5 linked regions of the Rattus norvegicus genome follow. The protein of the gene in region 2 interacts with the protein of the main gene of each other region in a biochemical or structural test. Links are inferred from orthologs where the notes say so. Each region holds a gene or a part of one and is shown on either strand. Other genes may lie near its edges.

Region 1 (4,219 bases), on a different chromosome or scaffold from region 2:
TTCATAACCATTGGCTGCCTCAAGGAAGATACACCCCTTGCTATGTGACCTGCCGGTGGCTCTTTTTCCTATTATCAACCAGACTTCTCAAAGTTTGAGTCATCCCTTATTGGGGATGGGGGTTGGGCTGCCATTTCAGAGCATAGATTTCTACTTAAAATGTATCCTCTCAAGAAAGGCAAAGCGAAGCTTTAAAAAGGGAACTTCTCTCCTAGCTCCCCATTGTTCTATAAATTGCAGCTCACTGACAGACAACTCTGAATTCTTCTAGAACTTGAAGGAACTGATATCCTATTGAGATTGCATTAAACCAAAAGCACATTTAAAGTGACACACACGGAATTGAACTGAGGCACGATTATTATTATTATTATTATTATTATTATTATTATTATTATTATTATTTTTACTAACTGCTATAAGGACATTGGCACAAGAGACTTCAATAGGCCTCTACAGCATGTCTTACCCACTAAATCTCCTTCCGAAGAAATAAACATTACTCTACCTTGGGAAACCATACTCATATCGTATTTTTTTAAAAATTCCATTACCTTGTCTAGGAAGGTAGCAGGCAGTGGGAGAAAATGCTTTTATCTGAAGGCTTGACCTGTCTCCACTTGGAGACTTAAGAGTTAAGCAGGAGAAAGGAAGGTCATTGGGGAAACAGTATGATGGATTGTGGAATTGATCTCCCACGGGGATTAGATAGGGATTCAAAAATCTTTCAAACGAGGCCCAGATGAACAGCAAATTTGAATGCTTTGGGGCCCTGGATTTGATTTGTTAATACTACCTCTGCCTAGCTTAAAACTCCAGCCTGAACACAAGCCACAGATCTGAGCTTCCACACAGATTTAAGGAGCCCCAACTCCCTGCCTTCTGTGAAATTCTCCCACAATGAGCTGACAAGGGGCTAGCCAGTCTCTCACCCTCTTCCCCATCACTCGATTTCCCTCCAGTTCTAGTGGGGAGGAGTCTGTCTGCTGGCCACCTGCCAGGAAAAGGGTGCGGACTCACCAGTGGGGAATCCCTGGCTCGGGGCCACAGAGGGGACGGTACAGAAGCCGAAGGACCGTCCACTGTGCTAGCGGAGGCCCGGGCTGCCCACTGAGTCTCCGCCCGCTGTCCCCGCCCCGCCACCCGCCGCCCGCTCACCTTCGTGATGGAAGCTGCGCACGGTGTTGGCGCGGCTGGCTGCCCTCTCCAGCCGGTGGTCTGGGGCGGGCGCTCCTGGCTGGCCCGAGTGCCGGCGGTACAGGTCGAGCATATAGGGGGGCACCACGACGTCCTTGCTGGGGGTGGGTCTCTGCTTCAGGCCAAACATGCTGAGCAGCCTCAACTCAAACTCGCTGAGGACGTCGTCCGAAGGCCGGGACAAGGGGCGGCCGGATGCCCCGGCGAACTTCTTGCGGCCCAGCTCCGGAATGAGGCCGGCCGCGCCGCCCAGGAGGACCTGGGGAAGCAGCAACACTAGAAGACAGCGGGTCCCGGCCACCATGGTCGACCTGCGGACAGGGCCGACGTGAGTCACCCACGTTCCCCGCCCAGTCCTCCGCCCGCCCCCGCGGCCCCGGCTCCCACAGGGCTCGCTGGCCTTCTCCAGGATGCCCTCCTGGCATGTCATCCAAGCTACAGCCTGGATGATCAAGAGGATGAAGAACCCCTAAGTCCCAGCCGGACTTCTCACTTGGGGCTTGGTCTTAACTCCCAATTTAAAAAAGAAAAATCAATGACTGTCTGTCACCTTTTCTTGTGACACTAGCTAGTAAAGCCTGTGTCAGGAAGCTGGGAACCCATAGATTGTTCGGACACTGCATCCCTTACAACTATACTGCACAGCGTTCATTTGCACATAAACAGACACAAATGCACAAGTGACTTCCTTAGAGGCGCCGTATAGAACTTCCTGGTAGATTGTAGATTCAGAAAGCGGTAAACTAAAGATTAATACTAATGACGCCACTTGCAAGTCGTGGCCTACGCCCCTAACTTCAAGGTTGACCCACAGGCCACTCTGTCCCCTTCTCCAGACCCCTGTGCAGTCAAGAAATCCATGCACCTTTCTGCAATGACCTAAATAGATAGTGTCTATAAATGCACGTGTAAGCTGTGACACATCCGCACAGTCAGTAAACACACACAAAAAGAACCCCGACTTTTAGTAGCTTCCTAAATGGGACCTAGTTCTTAAGGATAGCGAAGGATCTCTAAGGCTTGGAGTGCTGGTGGGCAATGAACTAGTGAAATCCACCGGCCATACTCTCTAAATGGATTTCTGCAATTTGGGGGCGGAGGAGGGGGTAAAGCCCAAAACAGCCCTGATAATGTATTTAAAACTGGGGAGGAGGAACGGGCTGAAAGGAGGTCGCAGACCAGGTGGGCAAGACAGAGGGATCTGGGGTTCAGAGTGCCTGACCCCTCTAGGGATCCGCTCGCTGCACGTGCACCGGGAGAGGGTATGTTTACGTCCACTCCACCGGTCCTCCGAGGCGCCCAGCGCCGCCGGGCGGGAAGCGGTGTCACCCGCCAGCCCTGGGTCCGGGCCCGTGTCCTCTACCTTTAGGAGACCGCAGTCCGTCTAAGAAGCACTAGGGGGCACGTCCATTGAGAGAGTCTCCACATGGAAAAAGCTCTGTCCGAGGGACCTGGAGCAGCGACTGGGCTTCTGTTGCCTTTCTTCACCTCCTCCTTCTCCGGGTGTTCTCCCCGAAGGGAACCGTGTCTTGGGGTGGGCCCAGCCGGCCAAGGAACAGAGAGGTGACCGGGCTGGAGGCGGCGGCAAGACTGGATCCGCCGGGCGAGGACACCGGCGCGAAGTGGGGAGCCCAAGTCACTCTCCCGACAAGTTCAAGAAGTCTCCAGCCAAGTGCTGACACACAGCCTCAAGCAGGGGGAGGAGTGCGGGGCAGGGACGGGGAGGGAAGGCTGAGGCAAGGCTGCTGCTGTCGTCTTCCTCAGGGACCAGCGCTGGCGGGGCGCGGGGCCGGCTCCGGGACTCGCCGGGCGAGGGTCGGACGTTCTGCGTTAGCTGGGCCGCGACCCATGGCTCGGGGCAGCCATCGTGGGCGACGCCGGGTCCCGGCAAGGGCGCAGCGAAGATCTGGGTGGCGGGCGGGCCGCCACTCCGCATCCCTCAGCCTGACTCTGGCGCACCCCCATCAGCGCTCGCCAGCGGAACCCGCACGGCTGCGGCGTCCCGGCGTCCTGGGGCTCATTCTCGAGACAGTCCAGCCGCGCGTCCCCGGCTGCCAAACCGGGTGACCTCACGCTCCGAGCCCTCGGGCCAAGTGTCTTTTGTGGCAGCCTGGGGTCCGATCACTCTTCCTGCTCGCCTCGGGCGCTCACTCTCGTGTCGGAGTAGCCCAGCGTTGAGGGTAAGACTGTGCTCCGGACTCCCGGCTCTTAGCGTCGGTCCGCGACTCTGGCTTCTCCCGGACAGCTGAGGCCACAGAGCCGGGCGCGCACAGTTCGCAGCTCCAACCGGTGTCGTGCCGGCCCCTCGAAGCCCCGGGTGACCCTCGCGTCGCTCGCCCTGAGGGCGTCCGATGGCCGGTGTGGGCTAGGGAGGCTTCGTCCCGAGCTGCCAATCCCGGGCGGGCTGTGGGAAGCGCAGCGGCGGGCGCAGTGCGAGCCGGGCTCTGCGCGGCAGGGCGAGGACTCCGGCGGCGACGACGGAGGCGCCGTGGCGCGGCGCTCGCGGCTTTTAAAGGAGACGCCGCCTGCCGGCTCCCTCCCGGCCGTGGCCGAACACCTCCCCCTCGGAGGCGCAGCGCGCTGGGGATCCCCGGGCGGGCGGGAGCAGCGCGCAGGGGTGTGGACGGCGCGCCCTGAGGGGCGGCCGCGGCGGGGCGGGGCGGGGCGAGCGCGCGGCCGCTAAGGGGTCGCGTCCCGGCTGAGTGTAAAGCAGACCCCCGGGACCAGGATTCGTGCCCCAGATGCCCGAGTTTAGGGCAAATTCAGGGTAGGCTTGCCTCTGAGTTCCCCCACTGGGCCAATATTCAACTTGAGTTTGAAGTTTTTAGGTAAGATCACATTAAAAAGAAGAACCTAGAAGTTATCAGACATGTTGGCAAAGATGTGAGCAAACGCTTCTCTGTTTTGAATGGTGAGAAGAAAATGTCAAGAAATAGCCAATACACATTCGAGTGTATTATTACATTTTATAAATATTCATACATTTATATGCGCCCATGTGCATATATAGTCAAATAAATGA
Region 2 (3,512 bases):
CTTAATTTGCTTCTGTTTTAATGACCTTTAGAAAATGGTCCAAACTGATTATCAGCAATACATTGTTTTTGCTTTTTTTCTTAAAAAAAATATTTTGAGACCACTTTTGATAAGCACACATATAATGTGGTCATAACAGACAAATAGAACTTTAGCAAGACTAAACAAAAGTGCAAAACTTAAAAAACAAAATTAAAAAATATGGAAGCATAAGCTAAAGTTTTCTGCATAGCTGAAATCTATTTAAAGCAAGTCCTTGCTGCAGGGGTGGGAAGGGGTGCTGACAGGAGGTTAAAGCAGTTTTTTTTTTTTTAAAATGTCTTCTGCATGTTTAAATGATGCAAAAAAATAATTTCACTCCATAAGCTTGAAAACATCTCACAGACAATTCATTCCTATATCTTTAGACACCATGGTTGTGGCAGTGCCTCCCTCTGCGAGGTACACAGCAGTGCTAGATTTAGAATGGACTGCCCTGTCACTGCCATTGTTGTTGACCTCACAGTCCAGTGGCTCGGTGGAGATGACCCAGGTGGATGGGCGCCACCGCTTAAGAGAGTATGGAGTTTTCACACGTCTCTTGATCTTTTCGCCTGATCCTGATTTGCCATCCTGCGTTGACTCACCTACTGGAAACAAAAGGAAATGAGCTGTGTAAAAGGAAAATATTTTTTTTTTAATTCTTTTTTTTCGGAGCTGGGGACCGAACCCAGGGCCTTGCGCTTGCTAGGCAAGTGCTCTGCCACTGAGCTAAATCCCCAACCCCGAAAATATTTAAAAGTAGAGGAGTTCGTTGGGCATATAATGCAGCTGATGGAGTGCTTGCCTAGAATGCAAAGGGTCCTGAGCTCCAACTCAGCAGCACAAGAGCCCCCCAGTCCTGGTGCATATGGCAGTCACAGCACCTTGGAAGTAGAAGCAAGAGGGTCAGAGGCTCAAGATCCTCCGCACAAGGCCTGCCTGAGCTGTGTAAGACGCTATCAGCAAAACCAAACAAAACTAAGCTGGATGGAGAACAAGGGGCTGAATTTCACAAACAGGTCAAGCCAGCATAGAGTCCAATGAAGGACATTTCTTGAATATGTGATGATTCTAGGTGATGTTTCTCTAGGCAAAATTCAACCAACTCAGTTTTGAGTCTTATCTAAAAAAATAATTAAAACTCACAAGAACTAAGAAAATTCAAAATTCTTCATTATATTCTCAAATTCTTTTGTTCTGGTGTAGACTCCAACTTGCTTAAAAACAGGTATCATTTGACTTAATGCTGACAGCAGGGCTAGCTGTGAGTGGGTGATGTACTCCTGTAATCCAAGTTCCTAGAATCCAAGGAGAAGGATACTGACTTCAAGTCCAGCCTCTGGCCACAGTGAGTTACTGAATGAGTCCTTGTCTCAAAAAGACAAAGCAAAACAATGTCCAAATGACCAAATCATACGGTCTCTAACACGTAACAGTTTTGGAGGGATGACCATTATCCCATTAATTCTGTTTTCATACTTGACAAGAAGCTTTATGGATACAGAAGCACGAAAGTTGAGTCAACTAGCTTGTAATATAAACCACTTAAGCAAAGAGCCAGGTTTTCTTTTCTTTGTGGTTCTGGAACTAAAACCTAGGTCTTATGTATTATGGGCAGGTGCTCTACCTATGAGCTACACCTCCAGGCAAGGGGTAGATAATTTGCTATTCGGAGACCTTCTTTCAGTCCACTCTTTAGTTTAAGAAAGCATAAAACACATAAAAGAAGTCTCTTGACTTCTACAATTTATTAAGATCTGGGTGTGTTGGCACACTCCTAATCTCAGCACTTCGGGAATTTAAGACCAGCCTGGTCTATAAAGTAATTTTTCCAACCCCTTAATACAAACACACACACAGACACACACACACACACACAGACACACAGACACACACACACACACACACACACACACACACTTACTCTGTATACTGCACACACACACACTCTTACTCTGTAAACTGCACACATACACACACACATTTACTCTGTATACTGTACACACATGCACACACACACACACACACACACACACACACACACACACACACACACACACACTTACTCTGCATGCTGCTGCCATCCAGGATATTTGTGGCTGAAAGATCCAGAGAATTGGGCCTCTGTGCTCTTCTGGGCTTTGCTGGCCCAGGGTCTGCAGCTGTGCTTGTAACACCTTGTGTAGGGACATCTTGTTCTGAACATGGATTGCTGTTGTTGTTATTGGAATTAGTTCGGCCACCTTCTAATGGCCGTTCCCTCCTGTCTACCAAACGATCCAGAACCCCTTCATCATGGCCAGCCTGCTGCTCTCGTCTCAGTAAAGGTTCATGTTCATCAGGACTGGAATTGATATTCAGTCTGGTATCCTCACCATTAAATTGATTCTGCAGCATTTCTTGGGCCCTATGTGCCACTATGTTGGCTGCCTGGCCAGATGGCACTACCCCATTGGCATACTGGGTTGTGGCAGCATGGGAATTAACATTGTGGCTTCTACCTGCCACACCATTCATAGTTACTGTCACCACATGAGGCTCTGCTGCATTGATTGTATTCATCTTGGCAACTCCAGTTTCTACTTGTTTCAAGTTTGATTTGTGCTTGTTGCCAAATTTTAGCCGGGGTTCTTTAGTTGAATTTTTGGTGTTCAAAGGCAAACTAGTAGGTCTCTTCGGAAGGTTCTGTTGCTTAGGGAGAGGATAGAGCTGAGCAGGTGGGACATCAGGAATTAAACATGCTTGCCCATTTGCAGCCTGTGTGAAGTCCTGTTGTCCAGTCACTTCCACCGCAAGCTTTATGAGTGGATAAAGCAAGCTGGAACTGGTACTGCTCAACGGGTCTGGCCCACTGAACTGCTTCAGAGAATGCTCCATGAGATTCTCATCAGAGCTTTCCTTGAGGTTCTTATCAACTTCTTTTGGGTCTAGCTTATTAGTTTCCAAGTCTTCTTCTGTCAGCTGTAAGCAGACAGGGGTTGGCCCGAGTGACTGTGCAACATTTGTGGCATGCAAATGTGTCTCATCTGGGTATGGCATCTCAGATATCGTGGTCATGCCAGTACTTGGAGTGAGGCCAGAGGTGTTTGTGGTGGTTGTGTTTGTGGACAGGCTTGTGACGCTTGTTTCTGGGCTAGGGATTCGAGCTTGTGCTTGCTGTCGTTCATAATTAATTGAGTTTCGGTTCTTTTCTCCTATTGTCAACGGTGTGCTGGACATTGAATGCTCAGAGGAAATATTTTTCACAATGCTGTCAGTGTGATGAATTGAGTCTTCAATATATGAGGAAGAGGAATAATCTGGGTAAGGCCCGATTTTTGGCACACGCCTATTATGTGATAGGTTGCTTGAAGAGAGAGAAAAACGTAGACATTGAGAACACAAACTTAATAACAAACTGTCATCTATTCCCAGCAAACACTACTGATTCCAAAGCCCCACTGCTTTTCATTTTATGCTTTACAGTCTTTTTATTGCTTTTTTTAGTTGAA
Region 3 (4,002 bases), on a different chromosome or scaffold from region 2:
ATTATCCATAGGAGACGTGTTCTGATACAACCACTGGATGCCCGGAGGTACAGGTAGTTCTAAGCCCTGCACACCGTGTTCCTTCTGTGTGCACGCACGCCCGTGCTGATGCAAAGTGTGTAAATCAGGCTCAGCCAGAGCTTAACCGAGAGTAAAGAAAATGGGAAGTTTAAAAAAATATACCCGTGACAAAAGTGACTTCGAAATTATGAGCTGTTTGTTTCTAGATGTACATTTAATAGACACAGTAGAACCTCAGAAATAGGCCTAGGCTCTCTCAGATGGGTCTATTGCATGGGGAAAGATAAGCAGAGACCCATGCTACTGAGATCTAGCGACTGGTCTGGAGAATAGAGGGGTCAACCTGATGGTCCCTCACTGGGGACTTGTATCCTTGGGAAATTTTTAGCCTTTTGTTGCCTCCGTTTCCTCTCTTGCACCACAGGGCCCTTCTCACCAGTTTATCAAGGTGGCTCATGAAGCTCGCAGGCCACTCACAAGCCAGCAGCTGATGCTTAGATGACACTTCTGTCCCCTCCAACCCCGTGCAAGCCCAGTGCATGTGACAAAGCATGGCGCCCTCACTCTGGCTACCTCCACAGTGGCTGTGGAACCACTCACTGCCAGACACCAGAAACCACACACCCACGGGCATTAGGCGAGTGTTTCCTAGGTCACACGTGAACGGTGTTGATGTTGCTGCTACTGAGTACACGGAGTTAATTGCGTCAATGACATACGTGGAGGGGGTTGGGATCTCTGGCTGGGCTCACATTCTGGCCTGTGGGATATGACGACTTAGGTCCCCAATTACAAAACAAAAACAAAACAAAACAAAACAAACAAACAAAAAAAAAAAACAACCAGCCTTTACCCTAGGTAGAGATCCTAGACAAACCCAGGGGCCTGGTGACCTATAAACTATATGCTTTTTTTTTTTTATTAACTTGAGTATTTCTTATATACATTTCGAATGTTATTCCCTTTCCTGGTTTCCGGGCAAACAGCCCCCTAATCCCTCCCCCTCCCCTTCTTTATGGGTGTTCCCCTCCCCACCCTCCCCCCATTGCCGCCCTCCCCCCAACAGTCTAGTTCACTGGGGGTTCAGTCTTAGCAGGACCCAGGGCTTCCCCTTCCACTGGTGCTCTTACTAGGATATTCATTGCTACCTATGAGGTCAGAGTCCAGGGTCAGTCCATGTATAGTCTTTAGGTAGTGGCTTAAACTATATGCTTTTAACGAAGCCATTAAACAGGAAGTTTCATGTTCCTCTGAAACTTCCTGTTGAGCAGCCAGAAAAGTTGGACAGATCTGGCCGGGCCTGGCTGTGGCCCTGAACTGGGACCCTTGGGCATTTGCAAATCTCTGGACAAGAAAGAGAGAAAGGACCTGGGCTCCGGGTCCTTCAGAGCAAGATGCCAAACAGAAGAAGGGGCGACTGGAGCTGGTTTTATGCAGGATGTAGGGACGGCAACGTGACCTCGCAGTGGGTGCCTGACCTGGGTTCCTCAGCCTTGGTGACCCTAGCTCTCTGTTCAGTAACTCATTCTACCCAGATTCTGTTGTTCTGTGACTTGCCAGTTATAGACCTCGCCTCCGTGTTTGCCTTCTAATCTTCCTAAATCATGGACACTTGGCAGGGAAAACGTATTGGACCGACACACTGCCTACTGCCCTGAGGAAGATTACACCCTGGACATAATGAGGGCCTCTTCTAGTCCTACTCTATTAACTTTTTAAAATCTGGGTCTAAAGTGCACTTTATAAGAGAGAACCCTTTCCTTTAAAGCTGAAAAAAAATACAAGTTTATTGAAGGCTAAATGAAGGATCTATTTCTAAGTCAGAAGAAGATGGGAAGGGAGAGAGGAAGATAGGAAGGGAAGAGGAAGAGAAGTCAAGTGGAAAGAAAAGGGAGGAGAGGGAAGAGGAGGCGTGAGAGAGGAGGGAGGGGAAGTGGGGGAGGACAGAAGGAGATCGAAGGAGACTGAAGCAAAAATCAGGGAAAGAAAAAGAAGGTGAGGAAGTGGACAGAGGGACGCAGAAACCTGGTATACTGGATACGGGGTTAACCGTGGATATGATTCTGGGGAGGAGCCAGGCTGTGCACCGGACCCTTTAGTGTTGATGGACAGGACCCATGATTCGCACTGCCTTGTGGGGAAGCCATTAGCCACACGCGAATGATGAACAGGAAACTCGTATTTTCTCCCTATTTCACCAAGGGTCACTTCAATAGAAACCTGAAGATCCGCTTGTGGTCAGTGGCCATCCCACCCGGCAGAGCCACTGCACTGTGGGGGGCAGGGCGCACTATGTCCCACCCCATGGAAGTCCGGGGAAAGCACTGTACCTTCCACGCTGAAGCTCCGCACGATGTTGGAGGCAGGCGTGGACGACTTGTCCGTAGTGTATCTGTTGTACAAGTCGATCATGTACTGGGGTGGCTCCGCTCTGGTTTTGTCCTGAGAGGGAATGCCACTCAGGTTAAGGCTGCGCAGGAAGTCCACTTTCATGTTCTCCAGAAACATCTTCAGGTCAAAGACGCCCTCCTCTCTGCTTCCAGACAATCCCAGGGAGCTGCGGGCATTTCCCCCAGGGGATGCCTGCCCCCAGCTCTGCAGCGGCTTCTGCTGCGTGGGACAGACCAGCAGGAGCAGCGTGAGCAGGACCACCCGGAAGGCCCCAGGGGACATCTTGGGCCCTAAAGGGGGACTGCCCTGCAGGCCGTTGTGTTGTATCACTAGGTGCAATGGGGAGCCCAGGAGGAACAGGCCCACATTGTCCTGTTGACTGCTCAGCAGGGAGCCTGGCTGGCTCAGTTCTCCCCAACAGCCCGACAATCTCCCACTCTACTTATCTGGGTGTGGATGCTATGCTCAGACCTCTTATCTAAGGCAGCTCTCTTTAATGAAGGCTGTATAAACATCTGACAAGCACCAGGGGCTGGTGGGAAGGATCCTGACTACTGTAAAGGATCGACATTTCTCCGGAGGGTCATCCACCCTAATTAGGATCTTTGTCCATTTCCTTGCTGGCTTGGTTCAGAAAACTCCAGGCAGGGTACACAGACCTTCTCTGCTGGACCACAGAAACAAAGAATTCAGAAAATGAGGCTGGGAAGTTCCCTAAATATAGAAAGCTCACCAAGTACCCAGAAGATGACACGAGCTGTGGGGGTCAGGAAGGTGGGGAGGTGTGGGAGATTGCATCAGGGGTAGGCGAAGTCTGGTCCTTACGGTATCCTTACGGGACCCGGCAGTGTATCTGGGCGCTGCCCTCTGAGGGAAGAGCTCCTGAGTATTGAGAATGGAGTGTGGACGGGCCCAGGGCATTCTGTGGACAGGCAAAACAGATGATAGCTCCTGTTCCCACTGTTCCTCCACGCTGTGGCCTGGGCCCTTTGAGCTTCCTTTTAGAAGATGCGTTTGCCTACATGTAGGCCACTTCCAGCTCCTGACAGTGGGTGGTCATGTTCAAGCCACCCTCCAGTGCTGGCTCTGACTGTGCTGGGGGAGGAAGCTGGCTGCTCATTAGTCCCACAAACACATGTATCTGAGGCTCTGAGCTCCATCCCTGACCCTGCTCTGTATGGTGCTGGTGCATGCAAGTATACAAGTGTAGAAGTGTGTATGTGTGTGTGAGTGTGTGTGTGAGTGTGTGTGTGAGTATGTGTGTGAGTGTGTGTGAGTGTGTGTGAGTATGTGTATGTGTGTGTATGTGAGTGTGTGTATATGTGTATGTGTGTGAGTGTGTATGTGTGTATGTGTGTGTGAATGTGAGTGTGTGTGCGCGTATGTGTATGTGTGTGAGTGTGTGTGTGTGTATGTGTATGTGTGTGTATGTGTGTGTGTGAGTGTGTGTGAGTATGTGTATGTGTGTATGTGTATGTGTGTGTGAGTGTGTGTATATGTGTGTGTATGTGTGTGAGTGTGTATGTGTGTATGTGTGTGAGTGTGTGTGCGTATGTGTATGTGTGTGTATGTGTGTGTGAGTGTGTATGT
Region 4 (4,020 bases), on a different chromosome or scaffold from region 2:
GGGCCTCGGTCATCTAGAGAAAACAGTCAGAAGTCAATTCTGTCACTTCACCAAGAGAGCCCGCCACCTCTGGGTCTCCAGAGAGGACCTAGCTCTCTCCCAATCAAAAGAGGTTTCTCTAACCTCTTCCCCACTATGGCTGAAGCCAACACACAAACCACCAAGAGCCCTTTTCCCAATGAAGGTAGGTATGAGGCTGCGTATTATCTGAGTGCCCCTGATGTTTGTGCCCATGTGTATTAGAGTCATTGGCCTTATAACTGTCTTCTACCAGTGTCCGCCCCATCCATGATCCAGCATGATTATCTCCTGTAAATAAGACAGGAGGTGTGTACCTGTCTTACCCACTTTTCCAGAGGAGAAAACTGAAGCGCAGAGTAAATTAGGGGCTTATTCAATGTCATCTAGCTAGGGGAAAAATAGAGAAGTAAAACTGTAGCCTAGAATTTGAATAGTCCATTCTGAGCTTCTCATACCTTAATGATGTTAGCGTTCTTGCTATGGGCAAGACACAGAGTTGGGGAGGAAACTGACGTGGGTAACACAGCAAATCAGTAACAAAGCCGATCTGCAAACTCAACTTCCCAAGTTCCCAATTTCATGATTTTTTTGGTATATGAGTGTTCCAGGTGTGGGTGTGTGTGTGTGTGTGTGTGTGTGTGTGTGTGTGTGCAATTGGGTTCATGAGTAAGTATAAGGATGGATATATATATATGTGTATATATATATATATGCTACTGGCATATGTAAGTAGAGTTGGGATTGTATGAATACTTGAAAATGATGCTATATATGTATGTGTGTATGTATATGATTCATTTACTGAGTGTATAAAATATAAGGGTGTATGTGTGTGTGTGTGTGTGTGTGTGTGTGTGTGTGTGTGTGTGTGTAATCTCTGAATCAGCATGCCCTCCTTCCTAAATGCCAATATGCCATTAGGGAACATTCAAATATTGCTCTAGAAGGTAACTAATTAGGCCTTTAAACTCCCCATCTCCCCCTCCCCTCTCTCCCTTAGTGCTGGGGGGGGACACAAGGACTTATTTTATGAGCCCTCGAGGGGTCACAGCTTTCCCTGGCTGGGCAGGCAGCCAGGCCACCTCCCCCACCTCTGCCAGACCTGCTGCCTCTGTACCTCCCCCACCCCCTTGTCATTCCCCTACAGACCAACTCTAATGAGAAGCCTCTCCCACTCTCTGGCCCCTCCCCCACCCTGCCAGCCAAAGTCCCGAGACTCAGCACCAGAGCCTGTGAACCCGCAAGAAACCTCACCAACTGCCAGCCACCGGCCCAACTATCTCCACACTGTGGAGAACCTGAGACTCAGAAGGGAAGAGATTTGCTGAGAACACACAGCAAGTTGAGAGGAAGAGCCTGAAACACTAGGTGGGCAGACCTCCGGCGACGCAAGAAAGACAAGTACTCTCCCAGGTTACTGATTCCCACTCAGAATGCTCAGCTGTCACCCCGTCCAATGCCCGTGTAGTATACCTATAAGAAGAGACCCCAGGGAAGAAGGGACTCCGTGTGCCCTCAGCCAGCTGCCTCTCTCTGTGACTCCAAGATGACAAGTTTTCTGTCCTCACATAGCCTGCTCCCTCTACCCCTATCTGAGGGTAAAGTTGAAGAACCATGGGGACCTAAAGTTTCCTTCTCTCTGCTCTCTGAGAAAAACCGAAGCTTAGAGACTTTACCAACCCACGGGGGTACAGAGTACCTCTCAGTAATCAAGAATGGGTCTTGGAGTCTAGTGTCCAAGTAGCAGATCTTAGCTCCTCTCTGCATTTTAGAGTCCATTCTGCACCTTGCAGAAGTTGAACTCCAAGGTCCCTAGGTACGATAAGTTCCAGATTCCCACCCTAGGCTGGGTACACACACTGTCCCCCACCTGCATACTCCAAGACTTTGGAACTTCTAGGTCTGTGCAAATGCCCCTCCCTGCCACCCCACCCCCTCACCTTGCCCTTTGTCAATAAAGCTGGTGATGGTGTTGGCCAGGCCAGCCTCCAGCTTCACGCTGCTGTTGCCTCCCTTTCTGTCAGCATCGGACAGCGTCCTGTACAGCGAGAGCATATATTCGTGGGGTGTGATGGGGGGCGGGCGGAATGGCTCCTTAGGCTCTCGAGGGGTCCCAGGCTCTCTGGTCTTCTTCAGCAAGAAGGAGCTGGGGGCAGATCCTGCTTTTGCAGATGCTTTGCCCCCAGAAAGCTGTCCTTTTGGGGTTACAGTCCGGGCTGCAGCCTGCCTAGTCTGGGGAGAGGGTCCTGGCTTGGTTTCAGAGCCACTGGCTCTGGGGGGCACCTTTCTGGGTTCATCCTTCTTGGCCTGTGTCTGCCCAGAGCTTCCCTTTGCCCTGGCACTGGTGGCCCCCACACCATAGCTGTGACCCCCTGGCCTAAAGATATTCCGAGTCAGAGGTGGCCTCTCCTTGGCCTCCGCCTTGGCCAACCCTGGCCTGGCCCCTGGGGGTCTCTGGCCTAAGTCAGGGGCACCCAACACAGTGCAGACGAGTCCCAGGTCCAGCCACGCCAGGTGCCAAAGCAACAAAGTGAGGAGTTTGGGGAGTCTCATCCTCTGGCCAGCCGCTGAATGACACCACAGAGAAAGGCAGCAGCAGCAGCGAAGGTGTCTCTGGCTTGGCAGGAAAAACCATGAAAGGAGTGGGTCTTCAGAGGCAGCGGTGGCAGCAGTAGCAGCAGCGGCAGGCAGGGCTTTCTCCTCAGAGTGAGCGTCTTGAAGTCCGCCGGGCGTGTGTCTGTATCCAGTCCCATAGTGGAAATGCTCCCGTGTCCAGACGTGCACCGTCTCCAGTCAGCAGCTGAAAATAACTCGTTCTTGAAAGGAGAAAGCCGACCGCCCCCTTTCTCCCGCACAACTGACTGAGGGCTTGAAGGAGGCTTGTATAAGGCTGAGGGATTTTTCCAAGAAGGAAGAATGGCGTAATGCTGCCTGTGCGCTCCAGTTTTTTTTCCCTCTAATTTTGAATCCTTTCCAGTGAAAATACTTACACACACACACACACACACACACACACACACACACACAAACCTGCAGGTGCTCAGAAAAATCTTTTACAAACCTGAACTCAGGAATTGGAAACGGAATTCCAACCCAAACCAATTTAATTACTCTCTGATGTCATGCTGTCTAAATTCATTTAAGTGCGATATATTTATGTGAAAAAAATCACCGCTGCCCTTTGGAGGCCATGGCTCATGGGGGCTCTTGGCTCAGAGCCCCATAGCAGGACTCAGGCTTAGGGGGCCTCCCCATCCCAGAGTAGACTCAGGGGTCTTCACCTCCACCTCCTGGAGCAGCTCACCCCACCATCCTGAGTGGAGAGATTGAAGAGCGAGTGCAGAGACCTGCAGGGACTAAACATGCGAGGTAGGTTTTCAGTGAAGTCCTTGGAGTGTCTGTAAAGCAATTTCAATCTCTCTGTCTCATCTGGGACCTCGGGTGTGTGTGTGTGTGTGTGTGTGTGTGTGTGTGTGGTGTAGAGTGTGGGGTGTGTGTGGGGTGTGTGTGTGTGTGTGGTGTGGAGTGTGGTGTGTAGGGTGTGTGTGTGTGTATATATGTGTGTGTGCACATGTGTGTGCGTGTGTTGAGGACAGCACAGATGGCAGCGTTTACCCACACTTTCTTTTATTTTGATAAACTTGTGACCCAAAAAACAGGAAAAAAAAAGTCATTGCCCACTATACCACCCCCACCAAATGCCATTGGCTGAGCACTGCCATCCTGTAGCCCCCTTGGCTGGAAACAGGTCCAGGGTGTGCGTACCTCAGCCACTACCCAAGCAAAGACCGCCAGTTTTCTTAGAAATTGGCTGAGGCCCGAGGTGGCAGCCCCAGCCTAAGGCAGCAGCGACCCCTGCAGGAAGTTGGAAAAACAAGTTCTCCGGGGGTTGTTTTTCTAGGAGCTGGTGAAGAATTGAATACCTGCTTAACTGAAGAGAGTCCCCTCTCCCTCTCTTCCTTTTCTTCTTTAGATAATGTCTCAGGTAACTCACGATGG
Region 5 (4,286 bases), on a different chromosome or scaffold from region 2:
ACTAGTCTGGTGTCCAGTAGTCGTGTGATGAGGTGTCCAGGCACCATTTCTGCTGGGGGCTTCATAACCTCATAAATGTTTATACGGTGGAAGCCCTGTTCCCAGTCAGGGCCCTGGTCCACCTGCTCCCGAAATAGCCGGAGCTCTGCAGAGGAGATCACCTCATTCTCTGGGATGCTGCTGAGGTTAAAGAAGAAACGAAAAGCAGAGCTCTCACTGGTCCCTGGGATGTTCTCCAGATGTTCTAGGCACAGTTGAAAAGGGAAAAGAAAAGGCCCATGAGCTTTTCTGAGACAAAAAAGAAAAAAGAAAAACAAAAAACAAACAAACAAACAAAATAGGGGAATTGGTTGAACTCTGCTTGTAGTGGAAACCTAAGGGGAGGAAATTACTGTGCCTTTTAATGGGAAGGCAGAGAAACGGGGCAGCCAGCAAACCAGCAGAACTCAGCTCACATTTGTCAAGCACCAAAGACAGAAAGTATCTCCCGAGCTCCTTTATATGCCTAATAATTTCCATGTGTCAACTCTTTTACTCCACCACCCTCGGACTCCCCTTTGAAAGCCCCCCTCTTGGCTTTGTGTACAGTTTTCTTTACAAGTGGTTGTAAAGAAAAAGAGGGGCCACCCTCTCTCTCTCTCTCCCTCTCCACTTTCGAGTATGTTACCAAACATTTCCCCAGCGATCCTGGAAACACAGAGCATGCCTTGTTGATCATGTTACAGAAGGGAAAATAAATTCCAACACAGTAATGATGCTGGAGGATTAATAACTCAGATTTACTTTGGAAAAGAAACATCCGCTAGGAAACATTCAGATCGTATTACAAGGCCCCTATTGAATAAATCTGACAAACACACAGCTGTAATATTAAATTCAGTAGGTGCTTTGAACAAAACGGGCAGAAACCCCGGCTTTGATATGGCTAAAGCACACCGCTGGGGCTAGCCCACGTCTGAGTGGTGTCACTCCGCTCCTCCTCAACATCGCCCCCCCTCCCCCATCACCACCACCACTGGTCTCCAGAAAGTACCTTCAGAGGCTGCGCTCTGGAAAGTTGAAGGTAAGTGGCCCTGTTCCACAGCCTCCAGGACTTGGAGCTTTGATGTAACCTGAACTCTTCTTCCCCAAGGGCTTCCACAGCCCCTTCAGCTTGCCCTGCCAGCTACCCCCCCCCCGCCCCCCTCCGCCGGGGCCCGGGCGCTCCACCCCACCCTACGCCGCCAGGACTAAGAGCAGAAACTGACCTTCGTGATGGAAACTCCTCACAGTGTTGGCTCTGCTGGCAGGACGCTCAGGGTACTCAAGCCCGGTTCCCTGGCTCTGCTCTTCTTCCTCCTCCTCCCCAGACTGGAGCCGGTAAAGATCCCTCATGTAATCCGGGATGACGGCGCTCTTGCTCGGCTGCGGACGGCGGCGCAGCCCAAACATCTGCAGAAGTGTCGCCTCGAAGTCCCGCAGGAGCTCATGGCTCTGCCCTGAGCGGCGTCCTCCCGCGTGGCCCTGAATCTCGGCGACTTTTTTCTTCCCGGTCTCAGGTATCAAACTAGCATGGCTCGCGCCTCCTAGCAGGACTTGGCATAATAAAACGACCATCAGCATTCGGTTACCAGGAATCATGGTGTCTCTGGGGAAGGGGAGGGGGTGGAAGGTTAAAGAATAAATAAATACCGATCAATAGCGAGAAATAGAGATGTCTCTGCATATGCATATAGGGATAGCAACCGACGGCCAAGATGTAAAACAGGTCCGAAAGATCAAGTTTGTGTTTTCTCCCTCACACCCTCCCCACACACACACACCAGCTGCAGCCATGCACGGCCCGAAAGTAAGAATCGCCCTGTAATTACTTGGTCTAACTTGTTTACACTCAAATAACCCCAAATCAGATAGCCTCCATCCTGTCCCAACGGCTATCTGAGCCATGATCTCAGCGTGGCTTCTTCAAGGATAAACAGTTAACATTGAGGGGGTAAAAGGGGGGTGGGGGAGGGAGAATTAAAATGGCATCGCTCTTCACTTCGGACCTTCAGCCTCCCCCTCTTCCTCCACCACAACCCCCCGCCCTTCCTCCTCCCTCCAGCCCAATTTCCACAACTTCCAGCTGGTTAAGAACAGGAGGAGGGGAGAACAGAGCAGCGACGACCGGGCTTGGACCAGGCAGCAAGGTCCAGTGGCTGGGAAAAAAAGTCAGGGGGGTTGCCCCAGTGACTTTGTGATTTATTTCATTGTGGTCGCTGCGTTGAAAATGTTCAGGAAAAAGTCTTGTTCCCAGGGAAGGGTAGGGGTGATTCCGAAGCGAACACGGGTAATTTTTTTTTTTTTTTTGACATGAGGCAAAGAACTGGCCTTCCCAGGCTAGTGGGACCGGACTGGGAAGGGAGTGGTTAGCCCTCAAGGGACAGCCCGGACCTGCGGACCTTTCATCTCTTTGGTCCTTCGCGTTCCCCACTTTCTTGCAACGCAGCGGATCAGAGAAGACAGTGGGAGCGCTTTAGAAGGACCCCGTACGCTTCGAGCGTCTGGCCTTCAGGGGCCAGGAAAGAGAGCGACAGCGCTGCCTGAGAGTGGGGCGCGGACATTGGAATGGAAGTCCGACGGGAGGGACAGACAGCGATCAGGGGTGGGAAGACAGAATGAAATCCCAAGAGGGGGAAAGAAGAGGTGTCTACTCACTGACAGAAAACAAGGCATATAATAACAGTCCATGATTCTTGGGAGCCAATCTTGAACAAACTTGCTGGAAAGGCTCAGAGAAGCTGCGGCAGTGCGTCGCTCGGAATGGCACTACGGAATGGCTCCTAAAATGAATATTTGAATATAATGAGACTCTGGAGCAGACAGGCTCTGTTTTTCTTCCAGCCCCTAGGAGTCACGTGGACCCAGAGGCCCCGCCCCACTCACCGAAGAGCCCGCCCGCCCCTCCTCCATCCTCCCACCCCGGCTGGGTCCAGCCCCTGCGAGCGAGGCCAACCTCCGCGCCCGCAGCTGGAGCCCCAGCCGTCTGGGAGTTGTCCCCGCCTGCTCGGAGGAGCTCTCGGCGGGACACCAGCCGCTGGCGGGGTTCTCCGTCGTAGTCACTGCACGCAGGGGACGTGGGGCACGTCTCTACCTGCGGCGCGCAGTGCAATGCATCTGGCCAGGTTCGGGGACCGGTTATCTGAAGGTTGAGGGATCAGGGTGCACTTGAAGACGCTTCTCTTTACAGCGCCGACACGGCTTAAGTGCAGCCGAGAGGGCGACCGAAAAGACAGTTCCTTCAAAGCCTCACGACCGAGAGTTACGAGAAAAGGAAAACGCGTAGGGACCCTCCAAGAGCGCGCGCACACACAGGCAAACACACTCGCACACTCCGGCACTTCCTCCACAGGGTCTCCGAGAGGCCAAATAATGCTTCCAGCGACAGGCGCCGACCCCTAGCGGATCTAACTCCCAGCCAGAAGACTCTGACCCCGTCGCCAACTCAGTCTGCCGCGGGGGTGTCAGGGTGTGAGCGGTGTGGGAAAGTCAGAAGGAGCGGCTTCTGAAGCACTGTCTAGTAGCCCCGCCAGAGTCCCCGCACCGTGTCTGCCAACCGCAGCGTCCGCTCCAGCCAAGCAGATCCTTCAGAAACCGGTCGGCGGTGCCATTCAAGGCGGAGGGGGTGGACGTCTGGGTTCCTAGCTCCAGACAGATTCCAAAACAGGCGTCGCCGAAGAGAGAGCGCGCATCACATTTTTTTTTTTTCAGATCTCAGAGTCGCAAAGGCTTTACAACTCCGACCCGGCGCGGAAAGGAAACCCCAGCGCGATCCCAAGCGTCTACAAACCCGAGAACAGCTTTCGGCCTGCACTCGACCTCTCCCTCCGGCTTGGCTTACTTTTTAAACCACCCCCACCCCCACCACCCCCCACCCCCGCGCGCGCCACTTCCTTCCCCCCACCCCTTTCCTCCTTTGCACCAGCTACAGAATCGCAGCAAAGATTCCTCCAAGAAATTCACCAACACACAACTCAGGCAATGACGGGGGCGGGGGCGGGGGGTGACCTGACTATCCCAAGATGCCACACACGTGGGCCTGTTCTAACCTCAGGAAGCGCAACTCTTCTGTTCAAGGAGGTCGTTGCGCGGGGTCCATCCGAGGAGGACCCGAGTCCCGGGACTCCCGCTCCAGAGCCCGCTCCACCCGGCCTCTTTGCCTCACTTAGGAACTCGACGTGTCCGGCTGCTTTCCAGCCTCACCGCCCCCCGCCCCAGTTTTCGGGACGGGGAAAGCTTTCGGGAAACCTTTGAGAAAGAAGTGTAAA

The links.
Region 1: the proteins of Bmpr2 (region 2) and Bmp2 form a complex in vitro, tested with the Homo sapiens proteins (4 studies listed by BioGRID and IntAct, with this or other methods). The link is inferred for Rattus norvegicus from reciprocal best matches to the Homo sapiens genes BMPR2 and BMP2.
Region 3: the proteins of Bmpr2 (region 2) and Gdf2 form a complex in vitro, tested with the Homo sapiens proteins (2 studies listed by BioGRID). The link is inferred for Rattus norvegicus from reciprocal best matches to the Homo sapiens genes BMPR2 and GDF2.
Region 4: the proteins of Bmpr2 (region 2) and Gdf5 form a complex in vitro, tested with the Homo sapiens proteins (2 studies listed by BioGRID and IntAct, with this or other methods). The link is inferred for Rattus norvegicus from reciprocal best matches to the Homo sapiens genes BMPR2 and GDF5.
Region 5: the proteins of Bmpr2 (region 2) and Bmp4 form a complex in vitro, tested with the Homo sapiens proteins (2 studies listed by BioGRID). The link is inferred for Rattus norvegicus from reciprocal best matches to the Homo sapiens genes BMPR2 and BMP4.

What each region holds. Positions count from the first base shown.
Region 1 is NC_086021.1:141,264,109-141,268,327, reverse strand, and holds the start of Bmp2 (bone morphogenetic protein 2 precursor), read right to left. Parts: upstream 2,805-4,219; 5' UTR 2,561-2,804; intron 1,509-2,560; 5' UTR 1,502-1,508; coding exon 1,159-1,501; intron 1-1,158. UniProt on the Homo sapiens protein: Growth factor of the TGF-beta superfamily that plays essential roles in many developmental processes, including cardiogenesis, neurogenesis, and osteogenesis. Induces cartilage and bone formation.
Region 2 is NC_086027.1:68,791,315-68,794,826, reverse strand, and holds part of Bmpr2 (bone morphogenetic protein receptor type-2 precursor), read right to left. Parts: intron 3,368-3,512; coding exon 2,088-3,367; intron 630-2,087; coding exon 379-629; 3' UTR 1-378. UniProt on the Homo sapiens protein: On ligand binding, forms a receptor complex consisting of two type II and two type I transmembrane serine/threonine kinases.
Region 3 is NC_086034.1:9,260,488-9,264,489, reverse strand, and holds the start of Gdf2 (growth/differentiation factor 2 precursor), read right to left. Parts: upstream 2,812-4,002; 5' UTR 2,695-2,811; coding exon 2,352-2,694; intron 1-2,351. UniProt on the Homo sapiens protein: Potent circulating inhibitor of angiogenesis. Signals through the type I activin receptor ACVRL1 but not other Alks. Signaling through SMAD1 in endothelial cells requires TGF-beta coreceptor endoglin/ENG.
Region 4 is NC_086021.1:164,915,782-164,919,801, forward strand, and holds the start of Gdf5 (growth/differentiation factor 5 preproprotein), read right to left. Parts: upstream 2,813-4,020; 5' UTR 2,575-2,812; coding exon 1,962-2,574; intron 14-1,961; coding exon 1-13. UniProt on the Homo sapiens protein: Growth factor involved in bone and cartilage formation. During cartilage development regulates differentiation of chondrogenic tissue through two pathways.
Region 5 is NC_086033.1:22,099,127-22,103,412, forward strand, and holds the start of Bmp4 (bone morphogenetic protein 4 precursor), read right to left. Parts: upstream 2,808-4,286; 5' UTR 2,802-2,807; coding exon of another isoform or gene 2,677-2,801; intron 1,628-2,676; 5' UTR 1,621-1,627; coding exon 1,248-1,620; intron 245-1,247; coding exon 1-244.